7 separate regions of the Mus musculus genome follow, and regions 1, 2, 3, 5, 6 and 7 are each reported to be linked to region 4. Evidence: microRNA targets listed by miRTarBase, many of them from high-throughput screens and not tested one by one. Region 4 holds a microRNA gene; each other region holds the end of a gene's coding sequence. Distances are from middle to middle.
The links. The annotated mature microRNA mmu-miR-297a-5p reads AUGUAUGUGUGCAUGUGCAUGU and lies in region 4 at 1,782-1,803, opposite strand. An mRNA with a match to its seed (bases 2 to 7 or 8) in the 3' UTR can be bound and repressed. Matches are read on the target gene's strand: a 7mer-m8 pairs with bases 2 to 8, a 7mer-A1 pairs with bases 2 to 7 and ends in A, and an 8mer does both.

Region 1: miRTarBase lists Kcnip3 as a target of mmu-miR-297a-5p. Seed matches in the 3' UTR shown: 7mer-m8 at 587-593.
Region 2: miRTarBase lists Dnaaf5 as a target of mmu-miR-297a-5p. Seed matches in the 3' UTR shown: 7mer-m8 at 428-434.
Region 3: the mRNA of Lcorl is a reported target of mmu-miR-297a-5p. Seed matches in the 3' UTR shown: 7mer-m8 at 442-448.
Region 5: miRTarBase lists Pde5a as a target of mmu-miR-297a-5p. Seed matches in the 3' UTR shown: 7mer-m8 at 517-523.
Region 6: the mRNA of Fzd1 is a reported target of mmu-miR-297a-5p. Seed matches in the 3' UTR shown: 7mer-m8 at 2,615-2,621 and 7mer-m8 at 2,148-2,154.
Region 7: the mRNA of Rad21 is a reported target of mmu-miR-297a-5p. Seed matches in the 3' UTR shown: 8mer at 622-629.

Annotation. Positions count from the first base shown.
Region 1 is chr2:127,454,695-127,458,764 of GRCm38, reverse strand. Kcnip3 (Kv channel interacting protein 3, calsenilin) reads left to right here. Exons shown (of 9, transcript NM_019789.4): 9 at 377-2,267. The coding sequence ends at 424. Among named protein-coding and RNA genes, the nearest start is that of Fahd2a, 12 kb to the right of the region's middle.
Region 2 is chr5:139,185,376-139,189,445 of GRCm38, forward strand. It overlaps Dnaaf5 (dynein, axonemal assembly factor 5), which reads left to right. Exons shown (of 13, transcript NM_001081265.2): 13 at 135-1,135. The coding sequence ends at 271. Among named protein-coding and RNA genes, the nearest start is that of Sun1, 13 kb to the right of the region's middle.
Region 3 is chr5:45,729,705-45,733,774 of GRCm38, reverse strand. It overlaps Lcorl (ligand dependent nuclear receptor corepressor-like), which reads left to right. Exons shown (of 7, transcript NM_001163073.1): 7 at 1-3,443. The coding sequence ends at 319. Among named protein-coding and RNA genes, the nearest start is that of Gm3414, 4.2 kb to the right of the region's middle.
Region 4 is chr2:10,514,810-10,518,879 of GRCm38, reverse strand. Mir297a-4 (microRNA 297a-4) reads right to left here and starts at 1,813; the gene lies at 1,716-1,813. All of the region lies in intron 10 of Sfmbt2 (Scm-like with four mbt domains 2), which reads right to left. Mir466h (microRNA 466h) reads right to left here and starts at 3,989; the gene lies at 3,909-3,989. Mir297a-3 (microRNA 297a-3) reads right to left here and starts at 3,060; the gene lies at 2,959-3,060. It also overlaps Mir466l, Mir669i and Mir669h.
Region 5 is chr3:122,855,103-122,859,163 of GRCm38, reverse strand. Pde5a (phosphodiesterase 5A, cGMP-specific) reads right to left here. Exons shown (of 21, transcript NM_153422.2): 21 at 1-3,969. The coding sequence ends at 3,832. Among named protein-coding and RNA genes, the nearest start is that of Gm34577, 6.6 kb to the right of the region's middle.
Region 6 is chr5:4,751,898-4,755,967 of GRCm38, forward strand. It overlaps Fzd1 (frizzled class receptor 1), which reads right to left. Exons shown (of 1, transcript NM_021457.3): 1 at 1,942-4,070. The coding sequence ends at 3,755. Among named protein-coding and RNA genes, the nearest start is that of Fzd1, 4.3 kb to the right of the region's middle.
Region 7 is chr15:51,960,582-51,964,638 of GRCm38, reverse strand. Rad21 (RAD21 cohesin complex component) reads left to right here. Exons shown (of 14, transcript NM_009009.4): 14 at 392-2,035. The coding sequence ends at 583. Among named protein-coding and RNA genes, the nearest start is that of Gm52217, 28 kb to the left of the region's middle.

The sequences.
Region 1 (4,070 bases), 120 Mb from region 4:
TGTCTGTGTGTGTGTGTGTGTCTGTGTGTGTGTGTGTCTGTGTGTGTGTGTGTGTCTGTGTGTGTCTGTGTGTGTGTGTCTGTGTGTGTGTGTGTGTGTGTGTGTGTATGTGTGTATGTCTGTGTGTGTGTGTGTGTCTGTGTGTCTGTGTGTCTGTGTGTGTGTGTCTGTGTGTGTGCATCAGTGGTGGCCGGACCCTGCTCCATCCCTAGGAATGATAGGTTGCACCTTGCCACTTGGGCTCTGGGGCTACCTTCTACTTCATACCTCTGCTCCTCAGTGTCCCATCTACCCAGTGAGAGTCTCTGACAGGAATCCGCAGTTAGTCAGCATTGGGGAACCAGCTCCTGACCGACCTTTCCTTTTCTCCATACAGGATGAGAACATCATGAACTCCATGCAGCTGTTTGAGAACGTCATCTAGGACATGTGGGAGGGGACCCCGGTGGTCATTGCTTCTCAACCCAGAGAAGCCTCAATCCTGACAGGAGAAGCCTCTATGAGAAACATTTTTCTAATATATTTGCAAAAAGTGAGCAGTTTACTTCCAAGACACAGCCACCATCACACACAGACACAGACACAGACATACAGACACACACACACACACACACACACACACACACACACACACACACATGGTTCCTCTGGCTTGGCCAAGGAAGTGGCAGCCAGAAGGCACCCCCGCCTATTCCTAGGTCAATAAAAAAGGCTGCCTCTGGGATGGCCAGCCCTGGCTAGATGTTACCCACAAGGAACTCAGAGATCGAGAGGACCAGGTCTACAAAGCTAAGGTCCCTGTGTCTTTTCTACCACTCGGGAGATCAAACTACTCCCTGCCTATGGACCCATGCTCTTAGGAAGCTCCCAGAAACTCCAAGGGGACAAAGAGGGGAGAGGTCTATAGGAAGAAATGGTTTTGGAAGCTGGGCTTGCAGCCTTATGCTAATGATCACCTGGGGTCCTGGAACCTGAGTGCCAGGCTACCTACTATGCCGTGAGCTTAGATAGTGAGGGGCCATTGGACTAAGACCTCCTGTAAGAGTGGGGCAGGATTGAGGTTTTTGGAGAAACTGAGGAAACAATTTGTCCATACCACTGGGTGAAGACTGCTGGCCAGTGGGAATGTGGCTGGTGGAGATTTCCCAACTTCCAGCACCAGGATGGCCTCTCCAAGGTCCTCTTTGATTCCCTGGGGAGATCACCTGGCTCATAGACTGACAACCAGGGAACTGGGCTGAAATGGGAGGTCTGGTAGGGGGCATCCCCCTCCTTTTCCCTGGCCACTTGCCACCCAGTTCCTTAACACAGTGGATCGGCCACACCTCTGTGGCTGCCCTTGAACAGACTCATCCCGACCAAGACAAAAAAGCACAAACTCCTAGCAGCTCAGGCCAAGCCCACAAGGGAAGGCCTGGGTCCCTGCAGCCCTGATTCAGTGGCCGAGGAAGACGCTCAGACATCCATCCTGTACCTCGGAGCCTTGGGGGTCTCACAGCCCTTTCCCAGCCCAGCTCGCCAACATTCTAAAGCACAAACCTGCGGATTCTGCTTGCTTGGGCTGCGCCCTGGGGATTGAAGGCCACTGTTAACCCTAAGCTGGAGCTAGCCCTGAGGGCTGGGGACCTGTGACCAGGCAACAGGTCAGCAGACCCTCAGGAGGAGAGAGAGCTGTTCCTGCCTCCCCAGGCCTCGCCCAGAAGGAACAGTGTCCCAAGAAGCATGTTTCCTGGAGGAACATCCCCACAAAAGTACATTCCATCATCTGAAGCCCGGTCTCTGCTCAGGCCTGCCTCTGAAAGTCCACGTGTGTTCCCCAGAAGGCCAGCCCCAAGATAAGGGAGGTCCTTAGAGGAAGGACAGGGTGACAACACCCCTATACACAGGTGGACCCCCCCCCCCTCTGAGGGCTGTACTGACCCCATCTCCATCCTGACCGGGGCCTTCCTTTACCCGATCTACAGACCACCAGTTCTCCCTGGCTCAGGGACCCCCTGTCCCCCAGTCTGACTCTTCCCATCGAGGTCCCTGTCTTGTGAAAAGCCAAGGCCACGGGAAAAGGCCACCACTCTAACCTGCTGCATCCCTTAGCCTCTGGCTGCACGCCCAACCTGGAGGGGTCTGTCCCCTTTGCAGGGACACAGACTGGCCGCATGTCCGCATGGCAGAAGCGTCTCCCTTGGGTGCAGCCTGGAAGGGTGGTTCCTGTCTCAGCGCCCACCAATATTCAGTCCTATATATTTTAATAAAAGAAACTTGACAAAGGAGATGGACTCTCTCCAGCTTCATCTGAACAGTCAGTCGGCCATTCCCTCCCTGCTGCTGTTAGCCATGACTCCCGACCCACCGGTGGCTTGGAGGTGAACGTTGACAGGTGGCTTTGAGGAAACAAATGTCCAGAAATTTCCAGGATCCTAGTGTGACATCACTGAGGGGAAAAAATGTCACACATCATGGGCCTTAGGGACCTCCAGTAGATATTCTAGTGCTGGAGCCATAAACACATAAGGCTGTGGGACACAGTGGCTTTCTGAGATGTCATTTATATTTCATTGCCAGATCAGTTTTCTTCCCAATTCCAGAAATTCACTTCTGGGTGTCCTTTGGGCAAGGGAAGGCAGGCCGTATGGAAAAGGAAGCAGAGAAGAGATGCCAGCATAGCTGTGTTGGTAGCATGCTTACCCGGCATTCATAAAGCCCTGAGTTTGGGGACCAGTTTGTGTGGGGGTAGGGACTTAAAGCACCATGTGCCTCTCATCCCAGCACTTGGGAGGTAGAGGCAGAAGGATCAAGGTCATCCTTGGCTACATGGCCAGTTTGAGTCCAGCCTGGGCTACATGAGACTTTGTGTATGGATCTGCATGTGTAGCACAGGAGAGAGAGGGCTCACTTCTGCCCAGGGAGTGGTTGGAGGATGGTGGGCAGGAGGTTGTTTGTGGCTGAACAGATAGATGCTTGGAGCAGGGAGGTGATGGGGTGTTGTGGTACCTTGTCAGTGGCCCCACTGGACAGCAGATTGATGAGTGGATAATAGAACAAGGCAAGTACTGTGAGGCAATCCCAGGGGGTTGTGAGCCAGCCTTAAGCACACAGGGCAGTCAGTAGCACCGCATGCTACTCCATGACAGTCGTTGGGTACAAAGCCTATTGTGCCAGTTGGCTGTGTGACCCAGACAAGCCACATGATCTCACTGCTTCACTTTTCTCTGTGGTAAAACAAGACAGAGAGAGACAGAGAGACATGGGGAGAGAGGGGGAGGGAGACAGACACAGGAAGAGAGGGGAGACAGAGAGACAGGGAGAGAGAGAGAGGGAGACAGAAAGAGAGACACAGGGAGAGAGAGGGAGACAGACAGAGACACAGGGAGAGAGGGGAGACAGAGGGAGAGAGACAGAGACACAGGGAGAGAGGGAGACAGAGAGACAGAGGGGGAGAGAGAGAGACAGAGAGACACAGGGAGAGAGACAGAGAGACACAGGGAGAGAGGGGAGACAGAGAGACAGAGGGAGAGAGACAGAGAGACAGAGAGACACAGGGAGAGAGGGGAGACAGACAGAGACACAGGGAGAGAGGGGAGACAGAGAGACAGAGGGAGAGAGAGAGAGAGACAGAGAGACACAGGGAGAGAGACAGAGAGACACAGGGAGAGAGGGGAGGCAGAAAGAGAGACACAGGGAGAGAGAGGGAGACAGAGACACAGGGAGAGAGAGACAGAGAGACACAGGGAGAGAGGGGAGACAGACAGAGACACAGGGAGAGAGGGGAGACAGAGAGACAGAGGGAGAGAGACAGAGACACAGGGAGAGAGGGAGACAGAGAGACAGAGGGGGAGAGAGAGAGACAGAAACACAGGGAGAGAGAGGGAGACAGAGGCACAGGGAGAGAGGGGAGACAGAGAGACAGAGGGGGAGAGAGAGAGAGAGAGACAGAGAGACACAGGGAGAGAGGGAGGCAGAAAGAGAGACACAGGGAGAGAGAGGGAGACAGACAGAGATACAGGGAGAGAGAGAGACAGAGAGACACAGGGAGGGAGACAGGCAGAGAGACACAGGGAGAGAGGGGAGGGAGA
Region 2 (4,070 bases), not on the chromosome of region 4:
TGCATGTAAGAAGGTGGTTTCAGCCCCGTGGGATCTACCCAGCAGCCAGAGAGAAAGATTGCCAGCTCTGTAAAGCTGGGAGGTGGGCACCCAGCCCACTGATGCTGGACTCAGGGTTCTATGCTCTCTTCTAGAAGTCCTCAAGGAGGGCAGCGTCCTGTTCCCAGATGTGCTGGTGCGGGAGACGGAGGCTGTCGTCCACAAACACCGCTCAGCTACCTACTGCGAGCAGCTGCTGCAGCACATGCAGACCATGGCCGCTGCTCGGTGACTGTGTGCATCAGCTACTGAAGGCAGACAGTGGTGGCCTGCAGACCTCGCACTTGAGACACTGTGTCCATGGCCTCGGGCCATCCTTGGGCCCCCAGATGGTGCTTGAACATCAGCTTCTGTGTTTCCTAAGCAGATTTCTGGGGTTTTGTAACACACATACACACACACACACACACACACACACACACACACACACACACACACACGCCAGCTTCCCAATTAGCTGCTTGAACATAATGTTTTTAAATTACAAGCCCCAGGGGTCCTGGGCTGCTTTCAGATTCACCATAATGCTCTTCACATTGCAGGAAAGCCAAAGGATTATAAAACAACCAACCATCCACTTCCTCTGGGCTCTGTCCCATCATCCTGTGCTGAGGACAGTGTCCAGTCTTGACTCACTGATAAAGTTTCTCCCAACTATTCTGGGTTTTGACACAGGGTTTCCCTGTGAGGCTTTGACTATTCTGGAACTCTCAGAGATCCACCAGCCTCTTCCTCCCCACACTGAGATTAAAGACCCGCACCACTACCACCCTGCTCCTCCCGATTTTAAATACACTGGAATGTCTTGCAGTGTGGGTGCACTGTCCTGGTGTTTCTGTTTCTCAGTATTAGTGATGCCCGTGGGTAAAGGATAGACTAGGAAACCAGCCTTCATCCCTACCACTTGCTGTAGCAGTCAGTAAGGTGGCCATTCTCCAGTGTCTTTTCCACCAAGTGCCTAAAGATTTCTAAGTGGTTCTTAGCCGCAGCCTATATTTTTGTTAAGACAATGTTGGGGGGGGGGGGGGTCGTGTCCAACAAATTTTAACATTTCTGCTTTGCCATTTATGGAATTAAATTATTTATTATAGTTATTTGTGTGGCCATCTGTGTGATTTGACTGATTACACTACATCCGTACAGACAGCTCCTGTCTCCATATGTCGGTGTTGAGGTGGTCCAGCCTGAGGGATGCTGGCTGTGGACTCCATGGGATGGGCCCCTCTAGTGACAGTCATCACTGGCTATGACCTGCATTCTGACATGAGGTAGCTGGAGGGCCAATAAGGCCCAGCCATCACCAGGGTAAGCCGGGTACACCAGTATGGTCCCGAGTCAGGCTGGACATCCAGGTGGGTGAAGTTTGGCCTCAGAGTGCCTGGCCCAGGGACTGCGGCCTGAAACTGCATTCTGTCCATTTCCCATTATCCTTGCTGCCTGGAGCTCTGTCGGTCATGTGCAAGATTGTTCAGCTCTTTGTTTTATCTATTACAATCTGTATTTGTCAAAGAGTGCACATAGGCTACAGCGTACATGTAGAAGTAGGACCTGAAGGACTCAGGTCTCTCATTCCACCATGTGGGTCCTGGGGATTGAAGTCGAGTTGACAGCATTGGCAGCAAGCACCTTGGCCTGCTGAGCCATCTTGTTGGTCAGAGCACCAGGCATTTTATTTTATTTATTGTGCATTACTGAGTATTGAACTTAAGACTTTGCCAATGTGTTCTACCCATAAGCCATGCCCCCAGCCCATCACTTATTTAAAGCAGGAGTCACCTCCCTCCACCCCTAGCTCAGCATCGCATCTTTGCAAAGAGATATCCAGTAAGTATCCTAGGCTTCATGGATCTTCCGGATCAGCTGTTGCTGGGGCTCCAGCTGTACTCAAAAGCCTTGTGGATACATTGCTCATGGTGTGGGCCTGTTTCCCATTGCTCCAAACATAATGGCTGAGTCAGATTGGGGAGGTGAGTCCCATAGAGTCGGGGGTTATTTGTAGCTGCTTTATTGATCTGAAGTTAGAGTGGGCTATTAGGTGACAGGCACACACCACAGCACCACCTCCATTGAGGCAGACCGCTTTGAGGAGCCTGTGGGGTGAGCGCACTTAACCACCATCACATTAGCATCATATGGACACTTGTTAGCAGTGCAGACAGGCCATCTCACCAGCTGCCTCCTTAGGAGGGAAGATGCTCAGTTGGAAGAGAAGCCTCCCTAGGGTGGAAGTGGGAAAATGAGGTCAGGAGCTGTGTCCTCTCCTCCTCATGCCCACCTTTCTTTTTGAAAAACAAAACCCCTCAGTCAAGCCCATGTAAACAACTGGATTTCTTTTCTTTTCTTTTTTGAGACAGAGTTTCTCTGCATAGCCCTGGCTGCCCTAGAACTCTGGAGACCAGGCTGGCCTCTACTCAGATCTGCCTTCAAAGGGCTGGGATTAAAGGTGTTTGCCACCTCTGCCTGGCTAACAAATGGGCTTCTTAATGTGTCACAGCCCGTGAGACAGCTCAGTGGGTGAAACGACTTGCTGAGCAAGCCCAGTGATGAAAGGGTCGGTGGAAAGAATGACCTCCATATATGCAGTGTAGCATGTGTGCTCACACAAATGGATGGTACACAGGAGTGTATTCAAGGGTTGGAGAGATGTCTCAGGCAAAGGCACCTGTCACCAAGCCCTGGGACACACATGGTAGCAGGAAAGAACTGACTCTGCCAAGTTATCCTCTGACACTCACAAAAAGACATGTTGCATGCCCTCTTTGCAACACGCAAATAAATACAATTTAGTTTTTTAAAAAGGAAAAAGAAAAGGCCAAGTGGTGGTGGTGCGCACCTTTAATCCCAGCACTCAGGAGGCAGAGGCAGGCGGATTTCTGAGTTCGAGGCCAGCCTCGTCTACAGAGTGAGTTCCAGGACAGCCAGGGCTATACAGAGAAACCCTGTCTCAAAAAACATATAAAAAAATTAAAAAAAAAATTAGAGGCCAGTCTAAGATAGATACAGAGTGAGTTCAAGACCACCTAGACTTTGCCTCAATATAAAAAGTAAAACAGGCTAGGTGAGCCCAAAAGATGACTCAACTGGCAAGAGTGCTTGTCACTCAAACCTGACGACCTGAATCAGTCCCCAGGACCCATGACTGAAGGAAAGAACCAACTCATGGGAGTTTTCTTCTCGTCATCTGCACACACACACACACACACACACACACACACAATTAAAGGGGGGCTGGGCAGATGGCTCACAGTTTAAGAGCACCTGCTGCTCTTGCAGAGGACTAGCACCCATATAGTGGCTCACGGCCATCCAGAATTCCATCCAGTTCTAGTGGGTCAGGTGTCTTCTGACCTCATGGGCATCAGTCACTAGCATGCACGTAGGCAAAACACCCACACTCAAATTAAAAATAATAATTGGTGGTGCACGCCTTTAATCCCAGCACTTGGCAGGCAGAGGCAGGTGGATTTCTGAGTTCAAGGCCAGCCTGGTCTACAAAGTGAGTTCCAGGACAGCCAGGGCTATACAGAGAAACCCTGTCTCGAAAAACCAAAAAAAAAAAAAAAAAAAAAAAAAAAATAATAATAATAATAATAACAACAACAACACAGAGGAGCCGGGCAGTGGTGGCACACGCCTTTAATCCCAGCACTTGGGAGGCAGAAGCAGGTGGACTTCTGAGTTTGAGGCCAGCCTGGTCTACAGAGTGAGTTCCAGGACAGCCAGCGCTATGCAGAGGAACCCTGTCTCGAAAAATCAAAAATAAATAATAATAAGGAAGGGGATGTAGTTCAATAATAGAGCAACTGCCTAGAATCCCCCAGGGAGGGGCTGGGGGCGTGGCTCAGTGGTAGAGCCCCTGCCTAGAATCCCCCAGTGAGGGGCTGGGATGTGGCTCAGTGGTAGAGCACCTACCTAGAATCCCCCAGTGAGGGCTGGGGCCGTGGCTCAGTGGTAGAGCACCTACCTAGAATCCCCCAGTGAGGGCTGGGGCCGTGGCTCAGTGGTAGAGCACCTCCCTATCATGTGCTACC
Region 3 (4,070 bases), not on the chromosome of region 4:
TGATGGAACCTCTGAGAACACTGAAGATGGACTGGACCGGAAAGATAATAAGCAGCCCAGGAAAAAACGTGGCCGCTATCGACAGTATGATCATGAAATAATGGAAGAGGCCATTGCAATGGTAATGAGTGGGAAAATGAGTGTTTCCAAAGCACAAGGAATCTATGGGGTACCTCACAGCACTTTAGAATACAAGGTAAAGGAAAGATCTGGAACACTGAAGACTCCTCCGAAGAAGAAACTACGATTACCAGACACTGGGTTATATATGACAGATTCAGGGACTGGCAGCTGCAGAAACAGCAGCAAGCCTGTGTAGATTACTGTTAGAGAACATGTGCGAGACTGTGTGTGTGTGTGTGTGTGAGAGTGTGTGTGCGCGCGTGTGCGTGCAGGAATGTATGTGTACAGGGGTATGTGAGTCTTTGTGTGTGTGTATCTACATACACATGTGGAAATTACAAATGCTCACTCTGACAGGAGACATGAAATTTTACAGTTCAAAAACCACTTACATGCCTTTTGAAAAAGTTTTATTCAGGGTTTTCACTGTGGACAGAATTATAGAGTTGCTTATTAATTCTGATAGTTTGTATTTAATCCTTGTATAAATAGGTGAAAAAGATTCAGGTTTTCTTTAGTAGTCAATAGCATAAATGTGGGGAAACAAGTAACCGTCAAGTGAGACATTTTTTTATTGGTAAAAAGATTGTAGCCATTCAGTTGAACCATCTCATAATGGAAACATGATATTAATAGTTTGTGAACACTTTTATGTAACATACCTACAATGATTGTGAGTATGTCAAAGAACCAATCAAAGTTAAATAGTTACCTCTGTACCAAGAGTAACTAATAGATACAGTATTAATACACTACAGTGCATTCTTTGAAATACAGAATGCACTAAAGTGCATCCGCCAGGATAGAAGAGAAAACCTTAAAGGATATGTATAGTAAAATTTAATATTTATCATTTAATTGTTGAGTTAGCAGGAAGTTGGGGTTATTACGTATATAATTTAAATTTTAAAAAAGCTGACATAGTTAATTAACCCCAGAAGCTATAGAATCCTTTAATATAAGATGGAATACTAAAAGCAAAAAGTAATTTAAATTTAATTATTAAAGTAACTTAATTTTGTTTTTCATTTGAAAACTAAGCTAATGTGTAAGGTTAGGAAAGAAGTTGGAATGCCACTTAGAGCATGTTTATAATGTGCGCAGGACAAGCTTGAGAATGGTCATTGTGGTTAATGTGCTGGTTAGTTGACGTTATGACTACTTTAAGGATTGTGACACACTCCTACTGAAAAACCTCAGTGTAACTTTAATATATTTGCTGCTGTGACATTTCAAAACATTTTCAGTTTATCAAGATGAATTACAGATTTCATTTTGGTGGGTGATACATTATCATTTTGCTAATAACCAAACTTGCAGTTTGTTCAGGGTCTTGAATAGATTTACAGATATTTAACACTGACGCTGTTTTGAATTTTCAGTAATGTAAACTCTTTACTACTTGGATATTTAGAAGCTGGGCAGTGCATTTTAACTTTTACTAGACTCATATGAAACCAGTGATTTTTATAAAACAGTTTTAAAAATATGGGTCAGAGTATTCATGTGGGTTTATGAAGTATGCAGTTTTGGTAGTAGAAATGTAATAAAGCATGTACCTCCGTGTAAAGACAGGAGATCTGCTTTATAGATGAGACTCCTCCTCTATGCCCTTTTCTCTGTTAGAATTCAGGTTCTGGTCATGTTCCTAAGCCACTTTTTATAAATCCAAAAGGAATTCTTACAGCTGAATTTAAATATAAGTGCACCTTGTCAAATACTTGTGTTGCTACACTTGTGTTTGTGTGTATTTAGTAATCACATGAACTTGTGATTGTTCAGCTACTAAACTTTAAAACTGCTTGCATGTATTTAAAGAAACTGAAGAATGAGAAAATATATGACCAGGTAATCGCTTGGTCTCTCAGATCTGTACTGAACATTTTCAGCTGTTAACATTACCTGCATACTGGGGTATGAATCCTCTTTATCTTTTTCTTCCCCCAAGAAAATATACTTAATAGATTACAAGACAGCATTTGTCAGGGTCATCTTTCTTTTTAAAGAATTAAGCCATATTTTGTGAGGACCGGAACATGGATTATTTATTATATTTCCCCCTCCTCCCATTGAAAAACAAAGTTAAAAAGTAAATGCTTCAAAAAACAATTTTCTTGACCTCTTTATACAGAATTTTACTTGCAAAACTTTGGGAGCTCGAATGCATTACATAATATTTATATTGTATTGAGCTTTTTTATTCCTCACACTATATTTACATTGATAAATTGATTGAGAAGTTTATAGTAAAGGGAAACTTACAGAACACTTTTCTATCATTTAAAAGATGACCTGACCAAAAACTTTACAGCATTCATAAATCAGGGATCATTTTGCTATTGACTTCACAGTGACCAGTAGTTTTATAGGTAATATTAAAGTTAATTTGCAGCATTTTAGTACTTATTATTTATTTTTGGTCAAATAGTAAATTAAAATATTTTTTGATAGTTTATAGGTAATGATCCACCCATAACTTTTAAAAGAAACATAACGTTTGTATTACTGAGTTGACTTTTTAATTATACAAACTAGGAAAGGCAGGGAAGTTTATGGGTTCCCCTCTCCCCACTGGTTCTATTAAAACGTGCTTTATGTTAAACTTTCAAAATCCTTTAAAAATTTAATTACCAGTTACTACTTAATTGACAGTTTCTGAAAAATCCAATTTCAGCTGACTTTTAATGAATATGAAAGCAACCCTTATGCGCTTTCTACTTATTTGAATGTTCCTCAAGTATTTTATATTTAAAATAAAAAAAGAAGGAAAAGAAAAAAACAGTGCCTCTGTTTTTAGAAAACTACTGCTCAGTAAAGTTGTTTAAACCATTTCTGATAGCTGATGACAATTTTATATTAAACTGTATACTGACTTTAGTGAAACTGATTTCTTTTTTAGTTGTTTACAGTGCAGATACTTGTGGGTTTTTTTTTTAATTGCAGTATTTCCATTGTCGCAGTAATTTAGTAAAACTCTGTGGCTGCCTTGATTTTGACAGATTTTGTTAATATAAACTGATTGTTAGGCAATTAGTTATATTTATGCATAAATCAATTGCACTATAATTCATGAATTATTTATTACAATATTTTCTAATGAATTCATGTATCTGTCTTGTGTTGTACATGTACTGTAATTTTGTTCCTACTTTGTGTTGTTATATATCTAAATCTGATTGTATGAATTTTAATTGTTCAGTTAACGTGTTTCTAGGTTGTAATTTGTAGTAAAGCACTTCAATGCTTTTGCACTTAAATTTACAACACTGTCGGTGTGTGGTTAATTTACTCATTCAGTAAAGGAAAAGAAAAGTAAACTTGACTATACTGAGTTCTTTGAGTCCTTATGAGGAGGGTTTTTTTGTTTTGTTTTTTTGGTTTTGGTTTTGGTTTGTTTGGTTTAGTTTTAAATAGTGTTAGAATTTGACTTTTCCCAAGAAACATTCCACAACAAATTTCTAAGAAAAAGGCAGAATAGAAACAAAAATGAGATGTTTGGGATTATAAACAAACAGGAAGAATTAGAAAGAATTGATCTAAGAAGAGACATTACAGCCAGGTAGACTAAGGTGGCCTTTAATTAACCTCAGCATTTACGAGGTAGAGGCAGGTGGGTCTCTGTGAGTTCTATCTAGGCCAGCTTAGTCTACATGGGGAATTCCAGGCCACCCAAAGCTACATTGTGAGACTGTCTCAAAATTATAGTTTTAGCATCTTTATATAATTACTAGAGAATAAATTGTGAATTGGAGACTCACACATGTTTCTGTTCACTCACTATGATTCCCTTTGAGACTATGATGGAAAAATGAGGGAGAAAAATTTTTTATATTTTGTAACTAATTTAGTATAAGGTCAACTCTTATACCTGAAAATCTGATATATTAATCTATTGTTCATATTATCAGCAACCACTAGTATTTTTAAATTTCCAGTATTAAAACTAG
Region 4 (4,070 bases):
GACCTTTTTCATAGAGAATGAAAGAGAAGACAGCTATTAATGAGGGAGGTATTCCAGTCTCCCGAGCCAGATGAACGATAAATTTTAAATTAAGATATATTGCAATCTGAAAACTCAAAGAAAATCATCAGGTGTACGAAAAACCAAAAGAATCACACCATAGCCTGCCTGTGTGCTGAGTTCCAGAGATCCAACTCAGGCTGTCAGGTTTCCACAGAAGCCATTTTCACCTGGAGGGAGAACTAGCCCTGGATCCGTTCTGCATAAGCTCTAAAGCTCTGAGTCACATCTCATTCAAATAGATCGATCAGAGCCACTAATGTGCGTGTAGGTGAATGCCAGTGTGTGTGTTTATGTATATGTATGTGAACATTCATATACATACATTTACATGCACACATAAGTATGAACCCATGCACATACATGGGGGAGGGCATCACATGAATCGCATGCTGATCTCTAACTCATCATGAAGTGAAACATGAATTTGAACTCCAGGACCTCCTGACGCTGGCAAGAGTATTCACCTCCTAACTGAGACATAGCTCTGGCCCAGTACTGCATAAGCTCTAAAGCTCTGAGTCACATACCATTCAAAAGGATAAACGAGTGTCATTCCTGTGTGTGAGTGTGTGTGTGTGTGCATGTGTGTATATGCATATTCATATAGAGAAATGAATATGCACTCAACTATACACCCATGCATATTTTTGGTGGGCATCACATGAATGCCAGGATGATCACAAACTTATCAGGAAGTTAAGCATGAATTTAAATTCCTGATCCTTCTAACTCTGGCAAGTGGTTTTCACCTGGTGAGTTAGATGTAACACTGACCCATAATTATACACTCTATAAAACTCTAAGCACATATAAATCAAACAGATCTATGACTGCCATTCTTATGTGTATATGTATGTGTGTGTGTATGTTCATATACATGCATGTACAAGCACACTTACCTACACATATATACACATACACAAGGACAATCAAATGAATTCCAGGCTGATCTCTAACTCATCATGAAGTTAAACATGAATTTGAACTCCGTATCCTCCTGACTCTGGAAAGAGTATCCACCTCCTAACTGAGGCATAGCTCTGGCCCAGTACTGCATAAGCTCTAAAGCTCTGAGTCACATATCATTCAAAAGGATATATGACTGTCATTCCTGTATGTGAGTTTGTATGCATGTGTGTATATGCATAGTCATATAGAGAAATGAATATGCACACAACTATACACACATGCACATTATTGGTGGGCATCACATGAATGCCAGGATGATCTCTAACTCATCAGGAAGTTAAACATAAATTAGACCTCCTGATCCTCCTGACTCTGGCAAGAATACTCACCTCCTAACTGAGACATAGCTCTGGTCCGTTACTGGATAAACTCTAAAGCTCTAAGTCACATACCATTCAAAAGGATATATGAGTGCCATTCCTGTGTGTGCTTGCGTGTATATGCATATTCATATAGAGAAATGAATATGCACACAACTATACACCCATGCACATTTTTGGTGGGCATCACACGAATCGCATCTGATCTCTAACTCATTATGAAGTTAAGCATGAATTCGAATTCCTGATCCTCCTGACTCTGGAAGGATTATTCACCCGGTGAGTGAGATCACGCACTGGCCCAGTCATACAGAACCTCTAAGACTAAGTCACATATCATTCAAATGGATCCATGAGTGGCGATTTTGCGTGTATTTGTGTGCATGCTTGTATGGGTATGTGTGTATGTATATGTATACTCATATACACACATGCACATGCACACATACATATACACACAGGCACATACACTGGGGGGGGGGGGCGCCATCACATGAATCTGAAGCTGATCCCTACCTAATCATGAATTTGAGAATGAATTTCCACTCCTGATCCTCCTGACTCTGGCAAGCATTTTCACCTTGTGAGTGAGAGCACCCACTGATCCAGCCCTGCATAATCTCTCAAACTCTAAGTCACATACCTTTAAGGCCTGACTCTGGCAAGCACTTTGACCTGTTGAGTAAGAGCATGCACGGGCACAGTACTGCATAATCTTTAAAACTCTTAGTCACATATTATGCAAGTAGATGAATGCAAGTCACCATGTGTTTGTGTGTGTGTTGCATGTGTGTGTGTGTCTGCACATGCATATCCATATACATTCATGAACATGCACACACATGTAAGCACACGTGCACATACATGGGTGGCATCAAATGAATACCAGGATGATCTCTAAATGGAGTTTGAACTCCTGATCCTCCTGACTTTGTCAATCATTTACACCTGGTGATTGAGACCATTCACTGTCCCTCTACTGCATAATCTCTAAAACTCTAAGTCATATATCATTCAAATGGATCGATGAGTACCATTCCTATGTTTGTGTGTTTCTGTGCTTGCATTTATACATGTGTGGATGTTATATATATTCATATACACACATGCACACACAACTATACACACGTTCACATGCATGGGGGGAATCACATAAATCACAGGCTGATCTCTAAGTCCTCATGAGTGTAAGCATGCATTTAAGCTCCTGATAGACCTGACTCTGGCAGTTGTCTACACCTGATGAGTGAGAACACTCACTGTCCCCGTACTGCATAATCTCTCACCTCTAAGTCACATGTTATTCAAATGGATCTAAGAGTGCCATTAATGTGTGCGTGTGCATGCATGAATATGTGTGCATGTATTTATATGTATATCAATATATATATACATGTACATGTACACACAAACACACATGCACATACATAGGGGTCATCACATGAATGCCAGGTTGATCTCTACCTCATCATGCAGTGAACATGAATTTGCACTCCTGATCATCCTGGCTCTGGCAAGGGGCGTCACCTGGTGAGTGAGACCTCTCTGTGGCCCAGTCATACAGAATCTCTAAGACTCACATATCATTGAAATGGATCGATGAGTGTCAATTTTCTGTGTGTTTGTGTGCATGTTTGTATGGGTATGTGTGTATGTATATGTATATTCATATACACACATGCACATGCACACATACATATACACACAGGCACATACACTGGGGGCATCACTAGAATCCGAAGCTGATCCTGGACTCATGAATTTGAGAATGAATTTCCACTCCTGATCCTCCTGACTCTGGCAAGCATTTTCACCTTGTGAGTGAGAGCACCCACTGATCCAGCCCTGCATAATCTCTAAAACTTTAAGTCACATGTCATTTAAAAGTATCAATGAGTGCCATTCGGGGTATGTGTGTGTGTGTGTGTGTGTGTGTGTGTATGTGTGTGTGTGTGTGTGTGTGTGTGTGTGTGTGCCTGTGTGTATGTGTTTGTGTGTATTTATATGTATATTCATATGCACACATACATTAGCACACAAAACTATGCAACATGAACATACACTGGGAAGGAACCCATAAAGCCAGGCTGATCTCTAAGCCATTTTGAAGTTATTCATAAATTTGAACTCCTAATCCTTCTGAATATGGGAAGCTTTTTCACATTGTGAGTAAAAAGTTTCATTAGCCCAATACTACATAATCTTTAAAGCTCTATGTCACACATCATTCAAATGTATCAATGAATGCCATTCCATGTTTGTGTGCTTGCATTTACATGTATGTTTATGGTATGTATATTTATATACACACATGTGCATACACAGGGACGTAAACACACATGCACATACACGGGTGGCATCACATGAATACCAGGATGATGTCCAGCTGAAGTTAAGCATGAATTTGAACTCCCGACCCTGCTCAATCTGTAATATGTTTGCACATGGCGAGTGAGACCGTTCACTGTCCCACTACTGCATAATCTCTAAAAGAATAAGTCACATAGCATTCAAATTAATGGATGAATTCAATTCCTCTGTGTGTGAGAGTGTATGTGCTTGCATTTGTGTGTGTGTGTGCGTGCGTATGATATATATATTCACATACACACAAGCACATGCACACACAAATATACACACATGGACATACATGGCTGAGAATCACATGAATCACAGGCTGATCTTAAAATCATCATGAAGTTAAGCATGAATTTGAAC
Region 5 (4,061 bases), not on the chromosome of region 4:
TTAGATGACTTCACAACAAAACATAATTTACATAGTAACTCTTTTACGCTAGTATAAAAATAGTGCCAGAAACTATATATTTGTTCAGATATATTGAAAAGGCATAAGAATACAAATAGGTCATCAACAGTGGCGAATCAGGGTTCACTAGAGTTCTTAAACGGTAATAGAAATTTATATTTTTCAGCTATTTACATCACTTTCAATGACATTCAAGACATGTCTACACAGGCTTTTGATAACAATGTGGAAGGGTGAGGTAAGCTTTAATACTTCCTTCTTTGCTCTCTGTGAGAGGGCAGAAAGAGTCCAAATCTGCAGTTGAATAGTCTGAGAACTCCGATCTCTCTCTCTCTCTCTAGTTGCAATATGGAAACATGACCTATGTTGTGGAAGATGTGACTCCTTGCGTAAGGTGCTCTTTAAGCTATCAGCAAGGTAAATGGTCCACGCCAACAGGAAGCCGGAATGTTCACTGACAGATTCTTAAGAAATTTTGGATAAAAGTGCATGTTATGTATGTTACAGAAGAAGGGGAAAGTGGTGGAAAGCCCTATATACTTGCACATTGAGTTGGCGGGATGAGAAGCGATGCCCTTACTCATTCCATGCTTGGCCCATGAGCTCCTGGCACTTCCTGCTGTGTCTCAGCATCTGAGCACTGTGCCTAACATACGGAGAGGATTTAATAAGAAACGGGCTGATGCATGGTTGACACTGAGTCATTAAATTCTGCCACCTTATTTGAGACAGCTGTTTACAGGAGAGCGGGGAACATTTCATCTCTTCTCATCTTAAATCAAGTTAAAGCAAAAGGCCATGCCGCTTACCTGATAAGGTTTAGGAGTGTAATCTAGTGAGAAACACAGGAAATTTGGAAATGTGATAGGTGCCAAGCCTTACACTTCGGCAGCGTTCTGAGAGTAAAGGCACTTAACTGGTAGGCAAGAATTTCTGACTCAAGTTCATATATACTCTTGTCTCCGTGTTGCTGCTAAAAGAAGTTCTTCTTTGTAATTAGCCAACCAGTGACAGAGTATCATCCTACATTTTTGCTCCGAGCCAGGTCTGTGTGGAGTGAATTAACAATACTTGTTTTCCATCTAAGGAACTCAGCGAAGAAATGACGGGCGCTGTCAGGTCATTACCTCAATACCCCATTTTGCAACAGTGGTCTCAAAGGTCCATAAAAAAGCTTAAGAGCTAGCTATTTCTTGGGGGGCATGCCCCTTAAACACAGGCTTTGTCTAAACCAAACTACGTGAGTACCCTGACTGGTAAAGGCAGCTAACTCTTCTAAACGTGTAAGATCAGAAAACTTTATAGACAACTTACCAAACCACGAGGATTTTTCTGGCTGAAAGTTAAAAATGACATGATATCATATTATTTCACTATAGCCAGCCAAGAAATTTGTCAAGAGAACAGTCCAGGACAAGAACACTTTCTTGTTCATTACGGGCACTATGGATTCACGGCAGCATGAGAGAGGAATGATAATATAATGTGATAGATATATTCCAACTTGAGTGGACACTAGAAAGGCAATATTCACATTCAGAACAAAAACTATGATTTGTGTTCTTGTACCACAGATAGCATTCCATGTATGGAATGGTTTTCCTATAAAATAAAAATTATTTGAATAAAATACCCAGCAATAAAATATCACAGTGCTTTTCCTATGTTAATATGTAGAGTAAGACAAACCACGACCTAAAGCAAACCGAATGATTTTCAATGTACATACGGCTTCTTGCCTGTCACTATGTTAGACAAACCCTCCACATATAATGAACTCTTTAAGAATATTCTCAGTGACTTAGGTCAGAGGAGTGTGGAGAAGCAACACATGTATATGACTGCATTTCAGCATAGCTGCTCGGTCACAGTGCCAGGCTTGTAGAATGTCCTCTAAGCAGTGCGCCTACACTCTGCATAGGCGAGTGTGAGGCTGGTGTGATTACTATTAGTGACAGTCTGTACCATTTACACACCAGTGCGTTAGAGCAACCTTCCAGGTTTCATCTCTATGACATGAAATAAAAATAAGATAAAATTCTGAAAAAAAAATACAAGTATTACAACAAGAATACATTTAGTATTGGGTGACAATTCCCTGGTCTAGCCTTGACCAATACAAAACACTGCCAGTATAGCCTGCTTTGCCTTTTCATATCTGAGGAAGAACAAAGCCACAATACAATATACATACACAGGATTAAAATGACCATGTTGAATTTTAAACAGAGAGAAAAGCAAGAGAGAAACCATTTTAATGCAAATTAATGCTAGAAACCCAGACAAAATACATTACCCTCTTTGGGAGGATGTGGGGAAAGGGTGGGAATGAATAAATCAAATCCTTCTAATTCTGCCCAAACCCAAACCTTTCTGCACATCTGGAACAGATCTGCACATCTGGAACAGATGCTCCTCCCCTAATGCAGTTATTTGGTTTTTTTGTTTGTTTGTTTTTGTTTGTTGTTTTGTTTTGTTTTGTTTTTTGACTCACTTTCTACTTCTAATACTGAATGCTGTTTTGTTTGGGCAGGAAGACGTTCACAGACTGTTCCTTTGAATTCATTGTCTGACCTGCCTATTGGAGACAAACCTCTGCTACTCATAGAATTATTAATATTTTTTTCCTGTCAATTTCAGTTGACAGAAGGGATAAAGACTCAACTTGCACTCGCGTATCTGTAGTCATATCTGCCTTCAGGCATGTGCCCCTGTGACCGTTTCTCTGTTGAAGCTTAAACTGTTGGATTAAGGAGATGAAAAGCAAAAGAAAAATTAAAAAAAAAAATTAGTTGGCTTTTTGTTTGTTTGTTTGTTTGTTTGTTTGTTTTTTGAGACAGAGTTTCTCTGTGTAGCCCTGGTTGTCCTGGAACTCACTTTGTAGACCAGACTGGCCTCGAACTCAGAAATCCTCCTGCCTCTGCCTCCTGAGTGCTGGGATTACAGAGTGAGTTCCAGGACAGCCAGGGCTACACAGAGAAACCCTGTCTCGAAAAAAAAAAACAACGACCCCTCCCCCCCAAAAAAGCAATTAGTTTTAAAAGTTTTCAGTATTTAAAAATGTGGATTGTCAGAAAGATCTTCAAGTAAAACATTTCTCTTGGTGGAGGGCTATCCAGGGCCCTCCCATGTCTCTCTTGGGACAGCTGGGGGAGGGGAATCATCTGGCCTGGGGTTTAGACGCAGTGGGGAGTCTGCTTGCTGAAGAGGGCGGCTGCATGGATGGTTTGCAGCTTAAGTTTGTTCTACCACGTAGATGGGATATACTGCAAGTTCTCCCCATCCTAGAAAGAGCAGAGCAATTAGGTACCACGTTTTCTTGTTTCCCAATTCTTTAACTTGGTTAAGACACTTCTGACAAGTTTATATTAATTTCTCCCTAACACCCACTCGGTCAGCATTAATTTTCAAGGTGGCTTTCAATGTCCCCGAACACATTTACTTTGCCCCTAACCCACTTTTCAGAACCATTCCTAAGGTGTTTTAAAAAAGTGGTGACTCAGGAACACAAAGGCCAGTATTTATAATCCCCGAGCATGACCAAGCTGAGTGTAGAATCGCCGTTTACACCATCCTTATCAAAAGCGTTAGAGTGGGCATGACTTGATCGCTCCACTTCAGTGGCATAAAACAAAAGGATGGAAAGTAGGTAGCAATCTCTGAAACACTTCACGCTCTCCAAAGTTGTGCAAAAAATAAAATACAGCAGTGGCAAAGTGCACTCAAGTCTGCATAGTGGACTGGGAAACCAGGCCTGTGGCAGTTTGTACACGGGGAGGGGTGTGGGGGCGGGGCTGAGGGAGGCATCAGTCAGTCCCGCTTGCCCTGGCTGCTCTCCCCGTTAAGGAGCATCTTCTCCTGCTGCTCCGCGAGGGCCTGCCATTTCTGTCTGTTCTTCCTGCAGCCATCCAGCAAGGGCAAACAGTCTTCGGATACGTGGGTCAGGGCCTAAGAAAAAAGAAAGGAAACAACTAGAGAGAAGCCTCCGCCACAGGCTTGCCACCAGGGCCACATTCATTGCAGGAGCATCGCGTTCTCTT
Region 6 (4,070 bases), not on the chromosome of region 4:
TTTGAGATTGGTGTGTTAAGAAATACTCAGTGAAAATATCACTAGTGTCCACATGTAAACATGTGTAGTGACCATGTTCTGTTTTAATTTCTTGGACTCCAGTTATATAGAAAATCATCATCGGAAATGTATAATGGTTTACAATGTTCTGCCACTCTAGTTTCCTAGTTAAATGCTGGCTCTTTAATAACAATGTATGTATGGCAGAAGGCTTCAGTGCTCACAGTAGAGACAAAAGGACCAGGGCTCTAACCTCAGGCTAACAAGAAACCATTGCAGAGCTGCTGAAATATCCCCTCTGGTTCTTTTACATATGCTTGGTACAGTCTGCCTCTGGGATGAAAAACACAATTCTTTGTCTCCATAAAATCTAGGTGAAAAGAAAATATGAACATCAGAAGGTGTTCATGTTACCTTAATATTTACTGTAAAAGCTGAATTGAGTGCACTGTCAGGGGGGAAACTGACTTCAATAGAAAGTTGGCTTTAAAAAAAAATCCAGGCAAATCAAGCCATGTGAAAGTAGGATTTGTCATGGAAACAGCATCCTAATGGGATCATATCATCAGCGGCTCCACGGTTTCCCAGGTAAGTTTTATTTTGCCATCAATACTGAACGAAGCAAAGCCAAGCCAAATCAAACAAAAACCTTCCTGGTTTTATGTATCTCACATACTTTAAAATAAAGTGCTTTCTGAAGACAAAGCCTGACAGTGACTTAAAATACTGTTTGAGTGATATTTTAATATAGAGAGAATATAAAACCTGTTACTGTTTGAGTGATATTTTAGTATAGAGAGACTATAAAACCTTTCTGTGTCAAATTCACATCTGCATCATTTTAAGGACACCCACAATAAGGCTGGTTTGTTTGTTGTTGTTTTGTTTACATTTATTCCTGGAACAGAAACTAATTAATTGTCATAAATATTTCTCCCACAAGTTACATAATTACCTAATGAGACATGTTCTCATTTGGTTAAAGAATTACTGTTTTTTTTTCATGTCTATCTCTATATAAAAGCTTCTCAAATGCCATCTTTTCTATTAATGTAACAACCAAAAATTGTTTCTTCCAACTTTAAATGTGTATTTTCCATTAAATTAAAATGTTTAATATCTTAAATGAATTAAGACTTATAACACAATTTCCTGATAACCATAAAAGCCACTCTGGTGCATTAATGGATTCTCTTTAGCCCTTTGTCTTTTGATTTTAGAAAGTAATGAAAAATATAATAAAAATATTTTAAATCTCCAGATATTTGAAGTTTTCTAATAGGGTTCTATTTCTCATATTATTCCCATATTATAAAATGTAAATTGTTATTTCTATTTTGCTGTATATATAGTCACATGCATGTGTACAGGTATATGTACATGCACGCATATCAATTCTGAGGTCACATAGGAAATTCCTCTGTGAAAGGTTCTCTGAACAATACAGATGGAATCTTCAGAAGTAAACAACAACAACAAAACGCTTCCACAGCCTACTGCCATCTTAGATGCTTATAAACAGAGTCCGTGACCACATACTGATTGCCTGTTTATGGGTTTTCGGATGTGCACGGTAATGGAAAAAAACAAGACAATACCTCATAGAACATCACAAAGGCACCCAACTGAAAGATAAACCTCTGTCAAATAAAAGTCATGTAAATGTATTCCCTGAAAGAAAGAAAAAAGCCTCAGTGTTAAAATTAGAGTTAGACTTTAAAAATAATATTGTTTGAAAATATTCTATTTTCTGCTACCATGAAAACAGCCTTGGCATGGGACTCTACACATGCCATTCAGAAGGCAGGCTGGTTGCACTTTGCAAGGGTGGATTTTTCCATTGAATCTTTTAGCTTTGTATATTGTGGACTGGTTGTGAGGCATTGTAAAATGTAAAGGCAGTTCAGATAGGACGATTGTTTTCAGGCACACACAGAAAAATGTAATTTTGTACAAAACTTTCATTTTTTTATTTGCGAAATTAAAAATATGGCATTTTATATATATAAACTTCTATTCCTCTATAAATATAGATGATCTCATGGTGGTGAGAATAATAATAACAATAATAACAATAATAATGCATACCAAATCCAAAAACCAATGTCATTTTAGGGTATGACAGACATAGATAAATTTAGGTCCTATGTATGTATCGGCATTTGTGATAAACTCTTAAGGTTTAAACACTACAATCAGGAGGACTGCTTTTCTCCTCTTCTTCATCCATAACTAAAGTGAGTATTTTTAAATGGCTTTGAGAGATTTACATTTGACACACTGCCGTAAATCCAGACAGGAGCACACAAGATGGGATGCAGTAGGAATGGACACACTTCCCCTTCAGCATGCATGCCTAGGTCGTGTTTGTCTCTCTCACCCATCCGTCAGTCCACCGCCTCTGTCTTCGGAAGTCCAACCAGGCTTTCTGCGGGGGTGTGACTGTTTCTCCCTCAGAATGTGCTGCTGAGGAGTAAGCAAAGTGTATTGTTGATTGTGTACAACTTTTAGATTGCAAAGACACATCTAATTGCAGTTTGGCTAAAACCAGAAAACAGCGTTTCACTTGGAGTAACTCCACTTCACTGAAATCTCCTTAGGTTTCCATACTCTGTGTATGTTCTACTATCCTGTTAAGGAAGGTAAACCATTCCTTCACCAAGCTTCCCAGGCAACCTCGAGGTCTGCATTTCATAGAAGGGTAAAATCTAGAAGCAGGCAGCATCACAGGGGGAAGAAAGTAGGTTGCCAGACATCAGAATGCAATTAGAACTAATGTTTTATAACCTCTCTCTTTAGCCTCTCCCAACCCACAAAGCTTGCTGCTCTTTCCATGATGATGACCAGACCCAGAGCAAGTTCCAGATACTAGAGAGTAAAAATGAGCTCATCCATAAAAAGTCAGACTCTCCAAAGTTCGCTATCGGTCGGTTACTGCACTCCCTCTGAACAACTTAGGTGCAAGGAGAAAGACACTGGGCAAGGGACACCGGGGTACAGGGAGGCTGGGTCAACTGGCAGAGCCCATACTGGGGTCCTCTAATAAAGCTGGAAGGTGGATCTCAAATAAGCAGCATCAGGAAGTCACAGGGACAGCCATCCACACTCTACCGCTGAAAAGGGGAGGATCTGGAATGGGCGGGGCCCACCTCGGGATCTGGAAGCTTTACAGAGTTCTGCACCTTAAAATTTCCCACTGCAAGCAAGGAAGGGGAGGGGCGGGAGATGCTGAAGGAAATGACCCTGGAGAGGCAGGCCCATGCTCCCTTGACAAAGATGAGGGCACAGGGCAAAGCACTTAGTCAAGTGTGCTCTGTTTTACCTCCTCTGCAATCTGCAGAAAAGGGCAAGTGAGAAAAGCTCCAAATACGTAAATTGCCCTAAATAATTAAACATTTTTAAAAAGAAAAAAAAACTGCGTGTTCGATAGTCTTTAAATACAAATATACGTACAAAAATCTTACACAGGCTATTTACAATCATAAAAGCGTACAATCCTGGTATCAGAGAGGGCTAGAGAGATCGGTCCACACGCACATACACATACACCTCGATCAGTTGGGCCCTCTCGTTCCTTTACCCCAGGGACGGAAGCTTTTGCAGAACCTGTGCTGTTTGTTGGGAAAGGGGCCTGCAAAAGTCAGTGGCTGGCGAGGAAGCCTGGAGTGGCCAGGCTTGGCAGGAATTCCTTGGGGCCAGCTTCCAGGCGATGGCTAGGATCAGGCCAAAAAAGGGTAAGGTAAGAGTCTGGGTTTCAGACGGTAGTCTCCCCCTGTTTGCTGTTGGTAAGCCTCGTGTAGAACTTCCTCCAGGAATTCAGTGTCTTGCCGGACCAGATCCAGAAGCCCGATGTGATGCCCACAATCAGCGTCATGAGATACTTGATCATGAAGACTGTAAAGTCTGGGCTCATGGGCGGGTGTGGTGGGACTCCTCCACCTCCCTGGAGGTGAGGGCAAGGGATGGCATAACTCTTGCAGCTCTGGGCCACCCAGCTGCGCTCCCACTGGTCCCGAAAGGCCTGTTCATAGAAGTAGCAGGCGATGACGATGGTGGCCGGCACAGTGTAG
Region 7 (4,057 bases), not on the chromosome of region 4:
TGGAGCACCCGTGACAGTTCTCCCAAGTTCCTTCCTTTCTGCACATGGGGATGGATGATACTTAGGGTTGGAAGGTTATCAGGGGCCGGTTTGATTTTGGTTTTGTTTTCACTTTAAAATCTGCTGAGTGTTTGTTTTTGCTAACTCACATCTCTGTTGTGGCGCCTTCACTTACTTCTTGAACTCTGTATGCCTTAAGATAATATGCTTTAGATAATAAGGCCTTTACCTTAGTGACTAGCATGGGAACCACTTGCGTAACTACACGAATGTCCAGTCCCAGCTCCAGCCAAACGGAGCTCACTTTGACCAGTGCCAAAATTGCATCTTCTGGTTACTACTTTGTGCGTGAGTTACTTGAAATCATCTGCTTTGTTTTGTTCTATTTCAGCGAGCTCTTGCTAAAACTGGAGCAGAGTCTATCAGTTTGCTTGAGCTGTGTCGAAACACAAACCGAAAGCAGGCAGCAGCAAAGTTCTACAGCTTTTTGGTTCTTAAGAAGCAGCAAGCCATCGAGCTCACACAGGAAGAGCCGTACAGTGACATCATTGCAACCCCTGGACCACGGTTCCATATTATCTGAGGAGCTAGATGTGTTCGAGCTAGTGATAACTCACTAGTACATACAAATTGCCCCCGTGTGCAGGGCACCAAAACCCTTTAAGAAAGTTTTTAGATTTCTGTTTGTACAAAAATCTTTGCCTTTTCTTTCTTCTTTTTCCCCCCAGTGTTTCTAATTTTGTCAACCATATTTTTAAGGGAAACTGCTTATTTGGGTTGGGTTTGTATTCCTGGAGAAAACAGTAGCCCAAGAACCCAGAAGACTTTTAACAGTTCAGAACAGATGTGTGCAATATTGGTGCATGTAAGAATATGGAGTAACAGTCAAAAGGCACCATTTTTAATGTTAGTTTTCCATTACTATGTTGAAAGGAAAACCTGCCTAGGAAAATGCCTGACACTTTAAGAACTGTGGTTTGAGTCCCTTGACAGGAAGAGAAAAATGTCTTCCCATCAGTGAAACCAACGGTCTGGTTAACCACTGTAGTAGGGATAGTGTGTGAAGCATCGTGCTTGTCTTCTTGATCATGTTTAAAGTAAATCCACACTGAGCAAGAATTTGTGAGGTTGTGCTGACTGATCTTCTTCGGCTATTATGTTCTGAAATCATTCCGTGAGTCTTAGGACCTCTGATGCTATGCACCGCAGCTCAGAACGATCAGACGTCTACAGTGGCGTGACTCCTCAGGGGCTGCAGATCACTCTCAGAGGTGTTTGGATGTTTGCTTGAATAATGAGATCATGGAAGCAGACATTCCCCTGCCTGCTGAAGGGCAGACCAATGAGAGACTACCCCAGATTGACTTCCTTTAAGCAAACAGTGCTGTAAAAACTAATGGCTTCTCTGATATTTATTATAAATGTTAGTACTCATCTTTTTCCAAGGCTGCACACTCCTGTATTTGCAACTTATTTTTAATAACTTTGCAACTATAATCCTGTATCAGTTTCCTATAATTTAAGTGGAGAAAAACATCCTAATAAAGGCTTTATTATTAACAGACCAGATAGCACCAGAAATTATGTGACTATATAAATATCAAAACATGTTCACTTTGTAGGACAAAATTATGTTGAAAAGTTCTAGCTTAAGTGTTGGCACTTTTATGGGGGGGAAATCAGTTTTAAAACTAAGACTTCCATGTATACCCAGTAATTTAAAATTATGTGAAATATTTTAAATTTGTGAACTCGTAATTACTACTTTAATGATTCAGTTTCTCGAGAATGGTAATTGTATAAAATTGCTCTTGCAGTTTTCTTTTCAATACGACGTGCCTGTAACCATGGATGTCCCCTTTGTAAAAAGACACTGTAGATAATTGAATGTTTGATTATAGAAAGGTCGTTAGTTTCTTGTTAAACATTTTGTTAGTCCAGTTTTTGTCGCTTATTGGGTTTAATATTGTTCTTGAAAATAGTCGATGCTATGTTATGTATAACTTTTCTAATAAAAGTTGTGTTTCAAGCTGTACATTTTGGAACATACTCAGTTGATGATATGTCACAAGAGAAATGTTGACTGAAAAAGTTAACATGGCCAAATATTTCATTTGCTTTACCTAGGAATATTTTGTGCTAATTAAGTGAATTTTTTTTTTAAAGTTCAGTAGTTCCACGAACACTACTGACCATTGTCTGACAGCTTGTTGAAAGGCAGCACTGTCTTAAGGTAATTCTAAATCTAAGCAGAGTGCTTAGTGTCCATGTTCTGACAGGGAAACAAGTCACAGTAACTGAAGTCATAGGTGCAGATAGTTGGTTGGCTGCAGTATTAGTGTAGGGTAGTCAGAATATACCTCTTCGAGAAGGTGAGTTTCTGAGCAATAAAAGATTTGAAAATTTAGACCCGGGAAGAGGGTGATTAATAAATGGGTCAAGTGTTGCAGAAGGGGGACCTAAAGACGGGTAAAGAAAGACCAGTATAGCTGGAAGTCTAAAGGGAATATTAATAGGTGGAACAAAAGCTACTACGACTCCCATTTTGTGTGGTTGTACTTCACATTGCTGCCATTTCAGTGTCACATCCAGTGAACCTTAGGACAGACTGGCTAGATCAATGGCCCAGCAAAGTGTTCTCTGACTTCTTGCTTCCCAGTCAGTAATAACTGAATGGGTGAATGGTGGGGTCTGCTGCCACAAGCTTGCAGTAACATTGATGCTTCAGTAAATTGCAACTAATCCCTGGCACCATGCCACCGTTAACCTGAATCTGAGGAAGTGCCAACTAGCCTTGATACTTGCTGTTAAAATGGACCAGGATTTGAAACTCCCCTCTGCTTTTTAGCATTAATGTGGTCTTGGGTTTTGGTTTTCTCAATGATACAATTTGGTCTTGAAGTCTTGAAAATCACATGACATAAAGAATAGAGAAGTGTCTAAAAAAGAGACAAATAGGCCGTTTTCAGGACTGATCATGGTGGAGTGTTGAGACTGGAAAGACTAAAGGTATCTATATACTGGCAGGCCCTCCTTTGAGCAGACTGCCTTAGCTGTCTGCAGGGTGAATTGCTTACGCAGGCAGTAAATGCTGCTTACCGTTCAGATTTCAGCTGAGGGTAAATTCCTCAAGGGAGATTGTGCTGATCCACACCCTGGGCTATACTAGGTCAGGCTTTCGGGTTGAATGCTCTTTAGGCTCCCAGAAAATGAATTAACAACCGACATACATAATTGGCAATATTTGAAGCAGTTTTAAGGTCTTTTCAAAGTCTTCTGCTTAGTTTGACTATGCGTTGCTAAATATACGTGAAATATCCCAAACTCTCAGAATTCTCAGGGTTGGTCCTTCAGTCGTCACCTGTGATAAAATCTTAGCCCAAAGGCAGGTTGGCACTTTGTAGAAACACATAACAAGGATCAAATGGTAATATCTCCTCTTAAAAGAATGGCTTTTGAGGCCCGGTAGTGGCGCACACCTTTAATCTCAGCACTCAAGAGGAGGCAGAGGCAGGCGGATTTTCCAGGTTCAAGACCAGCATGGACTATAGACTGAGTTCCAGGACAGACAAGGCTGAATAAAAAGTAAGATTCCACCAGTCATTGCCTACAACCACCCAGAACCTTACTAAGCATTGAGAAAGTGTTTAAAATACAGGAGCCTTGGGGGGACACTTCAAAATGCAACACCTTCATACAGGTGATAGGAATGTCTGAGTCAAGCCACTATGCAACTGATAGGGGTTCTTCAGAAAATTAAAATGGAACTTGAGTATGATCCATTACGGAAGGAGCTGAAGTCAGTACATTAAATAAGATGCACATGCCTACAAAAGCACACTAGCCAAAGATGGCTACAACCTATCCATGTCCATTGACAGGTCACTGTATAAAAGAGAAATGTATGTGTACATGGTAGAATATTGAACCTTAAAAGGGGTGAAATTTTGTCATATGAAGCAGTGTGGATAGAACTGAGCGACAGAAGTCGGGCACATGGCACGAGACCCGAATACAATCAACCCAATCAGTGTATAAGCCTGGAGTGGGAAGGGGT